Linked DNA regions of Arabidopsis thaliana. The protein of the gene in region 1 interacts with the protein of each later gene in a pairwise test. Each region holds a gene or a part of one and is shown in the gene's direction. Other genes may lie near its edges.

Evidence for each region. Proteins that work in one complex are often made in the same cells at the same time.
Region 2: the proteins of MBD1 (region 1) and AT3G23060 interact in a two-hybrid assay, tested with the Arabidopsis thaliana proteins (one large-scale study listed by BioGRID).

Annotation. Positions count from the first base shown.
Region 1 is NC_003075.7:11,947,099-11,950,858, reverse strand, and holds MBD1 (methyl-CPG-binding domain 1), read left to right. Parts: upstream 1-2,054; 5' UTR 2,055-2,217; intron 2,218-2,339; 5' UTR 2,340-2,344; coding exon 2,345-2,464; intron 2,465-2,943; coding exon 2,944-3,438; 3' UTR 3,439-3,649; downstream 3,650-3,760. Other genes in the region: AT4G22750 (DHHC-type zinc finger protein), read left to right, coding at 247-460, 548-639, 745-874, 972-1,057, 1,162-1,224, 1,359-1,493. UniProt on the Arabidopsis thaliana protein: Probable transcriptional regulator.
Region 2 is NC_003074.8:8,198,538-8,202,297, forward strand, and holds the start of AT3G23060 (RING/U-box superfamily protein), read left to right. Parts: upstream 1-2,098; 5' UTR 2,099-2,330; coding exon 2,331-2,436; intron 2,437-2,826; coding exon 2,827-2,926; intron 2,927-3,004; coding exon 3,005-3,419; intron 3,420-3,503; coding exon 3,504-3,760.

The DNA of each region.
Region 1 (3,760 bases):
GCAAGATGAGATAGTGAATTAGGATAGTATAAGCTAAGTAAGCAATCAAGTATTCATCTTTTTTTTTTTGGTTTGATTTGGTTGTAGTGTAGAGTGTCTTTGTTTCTTTTAGTTTTAAAGCTGTTGGTTTCTTGTGTGTTTTAATAGATTATCAACATTTGAACTCCCTCGCATTGTAGAACTCACAGAGGAAAGAGTAAGGAAGCAAAGGACTCATTTTTTTTATGATTGTTGTTTTGTTTGCAGCTTATAATGCTACTGTGGAGTTATTTCTCTGTTGTTGTGACGGACCCTGGTGGTGTTCCAACGGGTTGGAGGCCAGAATTAGACATAGAGAAAAGCGAGGGAAACCAAGCTTTGATTGGAGAAGCTTCGGTTGGAGATTCCTCGTCTCATGGTGTAAGATATTGTAGAAAGTGCAATCAATATAAACCGCCTCGTTCTCACCATTGTTCAGTCTGTAAGTCTCTTCAATGAGTGATTCTTTTCTTTGAATCCGGTATATGTGTTTTTTAGTAGTGAAAAAGTTGTCATATTGGGTTTTCAGGTGGAAGATGCATACTAAAGATGGACCATCACTGTGTTTGGGTGGTGAATTGTGTTGGTGCAAATAACTACAAATCATTTCTCCTATTCTTGGTATGTCAACTTATCATAGCATCGCTGAACGAAGTTGTTTTTGATATGTTCTGTTCATTAATGTTGCCATGATCATAATCCATTCCCAATATCTCAAAAATGCAGTTTTACACATTTCTTGAGACAACGGTGGTTGCAGTATCACTATTGCCAATTTTCCTCGTATTCTTCAGCGATGGAGATGGTGATATAACCGTATCACCAGGAAGCCTAGCAGCCAGCTTTGTTGCATTTGGTGAGTTCAAAGATATAGAAATCTCAGTTTCCGTTTTTGTTTCAGAACACCTTAACGTTACCATCTGATTCAAAAACTTCACTCTCTTGCTTTCCAGTATTGAACATAGCATTTGCCCTAAGTGTCCTAGGCTTCCTAATAATGCACATAATGTTGGTCGCTCGTAACACCACAACTATTGAGGTAAAGCAACAACTCTCACTTGGTTTTGCTCTTAACTTGGGTTCTCTCAGGAATCTCCATGTCAATAAACTCACTGACCAAACTAATGGTTTCTTTAATCTCAGGCGTATGAGAAGCATACAGTGAACTGGCCATACAACGTTGGTCGTAAGACAAACTTTGAACAGGTTCGCTCTCCATCTTCTTTGTTTCACTCGTTCTTCAGTGACTGATTCGTTTCCCCGCTACTTAGATAATATCTTTGACATCGAACACAATGAAAGCTTTAAAAAGTTTGGTCTCTATTCCTTTGTTGAATCAGGTTTTTGGAAGTGATAAAATGTATTGGTTCGTGCCATTGTACACGGAAGACGATAAGAAGAAGTTGCCAGCACTTGGAGGGTTAGACTTTACGAGCAGGTCGGAGTCCGAGACAGAGCCGCTTCAGTCTCTATGACCTTACAAACTTGAAATTTTTGGAAGTGTGTCTTCTGCTTTGTGTATGTATCAATCAAATATTATATCAAACATTGTCTTGTGTATTATAAAGATTAGTGCCTATTGTGGAATTTGTATCTTTTTATTTCGTGAAAAGAAATTTCTCAAACTTCTTAAATATACCATTTTCACATTTGCTTAAATATACCATTTTCATTTTTTCACTATTGATAATAATAACATGTTATTTATCATAAAAAATAAAAAAATCACGACACGTGAATGATGTACTGTAACTATCAAAGATTTGACGTACCACATACTTTCTGTATGTTTTTGATCGAATCAAAAATAATTATTTTTGTCCTTTTTTGTTTTATTGTTATTTTATAATGTAATACTTTTACTAAAATAATTTTTTTTAAAAACTAAATTTCTGGTCTATATAATTTTGGCCAAATATGTACATATTTAAAATCCAGAGTCAACCATTTAACAAACACTTGGAAATTTAATTAATTATTATGCCCTGTTTAGTAGAAAATCCATTAAAAATTACAGAAATGGTCTGCGTGTCGCATTGAACCAATCATATCTCGACATCTGTAAATACAGTTGGAGAAGATTTTTTCTTCTTCTGCTGGCCAAAAAAAAACATTGCATTAAAAAGGGTTCAAAGAAAAATTCTCAAATTCTCTAACAAAGAGCTCTGAGATTTTTGGAAATCTGAATCGTTGTTCGAGGTATGAACTTTTGGATCACTCTCCTTGAATCTGCTCTTTGATTCGATTTCGTACTTGAATTTCGCAATTTTGGAGTTTTCTCTCGCTTCGTTATACTGATCGTTTAGGGCTTGAAATTGAAGGTTTAATGTTACCATTTCCGGCAATGAACTTGAAGAAGTCTCGATCGGAAAACTCATCAGTTGCTTCATCTGGAAGTAAGATTGAGGAGCAGACTGAGAAATCAGCTGAACCAACAACCATTAAGGTAAACCTCACTAAACCTAAACCCGGTTTCAATTTTGCTTTGTGGTCTCTCTTTACCACACAGATCTTATCATTGAATTCTATCTCTTAATTAGGGTTTTAGTTGAGAATCTTAAGGTTTTTTTTCAACCAGTTTCGAAGACTTAGTTACTAGTGTTATTTGACGAACTGATGCAGACATAAAGGTTATAACTTTATTTCTCGTTGTGTCTTTGGCTGATCAGTTATGTATAAAATTTAATCAATATTTATGCTATTTAAGGTTTCGCAGTGACCCTTTTCTTCAAATTTGGTTTTTGATTCTGCATGTTCTCAGTATCACTCTTTTGGTGGTGTCCCTGTTTTGACTTTTGTGTTTCTCTACGCATGTTTTCTCATCTTGCTATATATTAAACGATTTGTAGTATGATTCTGTTGATCCAAGTAGCTTGTGAGTGACTGTTCTTCTTTTCACCGAGATTCCATATTTGTATTGTGCAGGTGCAGAAAAAAGCCGGTACTCCAGGGAGGTCGATAGATGTCTTTGCTGTGCAGTGTGAGAAGTGCATGAAGTGGAGGAAGATTGATACTCAAGATGAGTATGAAGATATCAGAAGTAGAGTACAAGAGGACCCGTTTTTTTGCAAGACGAAAGAAGGTGTGTCCTGTGAAGATGTTGGAGATCTAAACTATGATTCCTCCAGAACATGGGTCATCGACAAGCCTGGCTTGCCGAGGACACCAAGAGGGTTCAAAAGGAGCTTAATTCTGAGAAAGGATTACTCGAAAATGGATGCGTACTACATAACTCCTACTGGGAAGAAGCTCAAGTCTCGTAATGAAATCGCAGCCTTCATCGATGCCAATCAGGATTACAAGTATGCACTGCTTGGAGATTTCAATTTCACAGTCCCAAAGGTGATGGAAGAGACGGTTCCTAGTGGGATATTATCTGACAGGACCCCCAAGCCATCAAGGAAAGTTACAATTGATTGAGCTACATAGCGCTTCCCAGCTTCTTATGGTGTTGAAGTTGTTATTGGAGTCAGTTTTAGGTTTCTATCTGGTTTAGTCTTTTAAGGGTGTCGGACTTCTTACTGTAGAATGTTTCTTAAACTCATCTCTTTGACTCTGATTGGATCTTTATTTTCTAATGAAGGATTATCTTTTCTTCTCTTTTTGTTATGTCACAAGTCACAACTACATGAATCGCTCTGGTTTTCACTCAGTGTGTACAAACAAACACGACAAAGTATATTCAAGCAGCATGTGTACAACTTCTTCTACTCCAAGCGCACCCTCTGCTATAGCGTGCGGT
Region 2 (3,760 bases), on another chromosome or scaffold:
AATGCAAATAATATATCAAACAGAAAAGACCCAGATTACACAAACAATAAATATTCAAATGATCTGGACTCTGGAGATAATACGTGTTTAGTTTTGAAAAAGCAGTTTAAGAAATTATAGTAGCATGTCCAATTGTTTACTAAATTAAAACCACAAATTCGAAATGTTTATGTTATTATGATATTTGAACTGCTATATATGGGAGTTTGGACTCTTTTATTTCTGTTTCTGTTTTTGTACTAGACTTTAAGTTTCTGAGTTCAATATATATATAATCAGCATATTAACAATCATTATCATGTACGTGAAGTTTCATTCCAAAGATTTATTTTTTTGACTTAAATATCTGTTTTCTTAATTTCGTACGACCATTCAATTCTTGCAATGTCTAAGAGAGTGGCCATAGGAATTCAAAATTTGATACATGATGACACTTTACAAATAAATCCAAACTAGTACAAACCCAAAAGCCTCATGAGGCCATAATATGCAAGGCCTAGTTTACATCTTTTAGAGGTTCGTTTATTATAGTTTACTTTCCAGGAAGGCCCTTTTATTTACACTTAAGAAAATAAAGCGAAGGGAATATGTTGACACACAAAATAAGAACAAAAGATAGGTGAAAATGTTTTTCTTTTTTTTGAAAATCTACATTGCACTATTTTTGTTTTATGATAAATTAGATTTTAGACATGAAATATCTCCTCATATATCAAACACTTCACAAAAAGGATTCACAAATATTTTCACGTAGTATTCTTTATATACCAATGTTTTGTCTATAATACATTTAATGTGAATTTATACAGGACTAATGTAAATTCTATAAAATCTTATCATAAAATTCATTAAGGAGATTCAGAAATATTTTCCAAGAGACATTGTTCTTGTACTACACATTTCAAAACACTAATAAAAGTAGCTTAAACATTATTTTTACGTAAAAACAAAAACCAATTCCTAAAACTGTATTCTTGTAAAGACATGTAGGAAATATTTATAAATATTCTCTCTAACTCGTCAAATAATATATGAGATCATTTTTACACATGTAGCATCAGTTTAGGAAAAATATAAATTAAACAGTATATCTCGCATAATACAGAAATTTGGTATGGTCCAATATGAAATTCAATGTATATACATGAAATTGTTTAGAAAGATTTGGAATTTTGACAAGTATATTACATGCGGATATTTTTCTTGAAATTGAACAAACATAGAAAGAAATTTACAGTGTATTTAGAGATTTTAAGTCAGAAATACGCATTTAATTTAATTTTACTTACATAGTAAGAAATCTAAAATTTCATTTGTTAAATACGTAATTGCTGACGTCAAAAAGATGTAAATTTTATAGAAGAATTTAAAAATTTTGAACACGTAAACTACATGTAGATATTTTTCTCGAAATTGAACAAAACGTACATAGAAATTTACAAAATATTTAAAGATTTTAAGTCAAAGGATAAGCATTTAATTAAATTTTAAATAGTAAAAAATCTAAATTTTCATTTGTTAAATACGTAATTGGTGACGTAAGAAAATGTTGTAAATGTTTTAGTAAGATTGAAAGTTTTTGACACGTAGATATTTTTCCCGATATTGAACAAAACCTACATAGAAATTTACAAAAATCTTTAGAGATGTTAAGTAAGAAATACTCATTTAATTCTATACTACTTAAATAGTTAAAAAATCTAAATTTTTATTTGTTAAATACGTAATTGCTTACGTAAGAAAAAATGTAATTTCCTTATAAATTAGTAACGGCCAAAACATAATGATTATAAGTTAACAAAAAGAAAACTAAAGAGCCTGAAAAATAAATATAAAAATATATATACAATGTAGACCTTTTATGAACAAATTTGTAACTCTATATTTGAAAAACTTTGCAATAAATTGTTAAATATAAATTAAACCTAATGCATCACTCATGTAATCATTGGCATAAAAACTATAATATATTTTCTTTGTGAGCCACCGAAGTTTAGCTTTCTGTCACTTTGACCCTCTCTAATTATTCATAGTTTTAAAACCAACCCTCTCTAAAAATACTTAAAAGCAAACTCTTCCAAAATCAAAACCTCTTCTTACACAGATTTTTTTTTTCTCTGAGAGAGACAGAGAGAGCGAAACTTGAGAGACCAAAATCCAATCTTTTCAACAATCGATTCTCTCTGAGAAAACCAACAATAAAGCTAGACACTTTTTTTTGTGGGTTTGTCTTCTTCTTCGTTCATGCACCATGTTGTGTTACGTGAACGAAGAAGCTATATAATCAATAAATCTTATCGATTTGTTGAGTTTGGGAATCGGAGAGAAAGATGTTAACAAAGGTGCTTAGTAAGGAGGTTAAGCCATGCCTTGCTTGTCCAATCTGCACTAATCCGTTTAAGGATGCCACCACAATCTCCGAGTGTCTCCACACCTGTAAGTGTAACCCTTCGATTGTTTTTTCCTTTATCTTTGTGATTTAGATTCTGATTTTTTGTTTGTGACTATCTCTCTGTTTATTGGTTATATTAATTAGTGTAGACTAGAGATTATATCAGATTGATTCTGAAACTTGGAAGTTGAAACCGATGTTTTGTTTAGCTTTTTGGTGTTGTTGTGTGTGTTTCAACATGTATCTGTGTAAATATTAAGGTAAGCAGATAAGGACTGTTTTTTTTTGTAAGTGGATGATTCAGTGTCTGTTTATGTCTTTGTGATTTCAAAGTTGCTGTTTCTTTAGCTTGTTATGTTTCTAGTCCTGGCTTTAAGTATTGGTATATCTTGTGTCTTTATATGAATTGGGACTTGTGGAATTTGTGGTAACAGTTTGCAGGAGCTGCATTCGTAACAAGTTCATAAATGAGAGAGTGAACGCTTGTCCAGTCTGCAACGTTAACCTCGGTGTTTTTCCTCTAGAGAAACTTCGGTATGAACTTGTTTGATTCTTAGCATTTGCATCTATCTTTATGCTTTTATGTGATTTGAGGTATCTATATAAGTGCAGGTCGGATTGCACTTGGCAGGATTTGAAGCTGAAAATCTACCGAGCAATGATGGAAAGCTTAAAGAAGGCAGGACCTAAAACTGTTGCAGCGTCTGTGAAATCTTCGAAAAAGAAGAGAAAATCTCGAACTTCACTGCGGGTCTCTTCATCTAGAGTATCATCCTCACCTGATACTCCATTGGAACCAGCCAATGTGGTTGTGGAACCACCTAATGTGGTTGTGGAGGAGAAACATAGGGAGACCGTTCTAGCTCTTCAAAGCACTAGAAAACCGATAATCACGTTCCAGAAACGTGGGAGAAAAGCTTCACTCCCGAAGAAGATTGATTCGAAACCAGAACCCGAACTGCCTCCTAAGGAGCCTAAAATTAAGAATCTATTTGACCTGAACAACGAACCTGAAGACAATGGATTGGTAAGTATGTATATGAGTCTTTGTATAACTATTGTTCTCCTTTGTTAACTATCTGTTTGCAACTAATGTGTTTATGCATCTTAGGACGAAGCTGAAGGATCAACTTTTCAGGAAGTCGTACCAAAGGAGAAAGATCTTTGTAAACCTATTTTCTCTCTCTCTGTCACTCTAAACATCAACGATACTCCTCCTGATATCGTTGAGCCTGAGATAAGTTCGGATGACGACACAGAGGAATCTGTTGAACCTATTCAGAACAAGTGTGTTGTGAATAGAGAAACAAAGGAAGTTCCTGTTCAAGTGAATCAAAACAGTCTCCTTATTAGCTCTGATAGGGATAG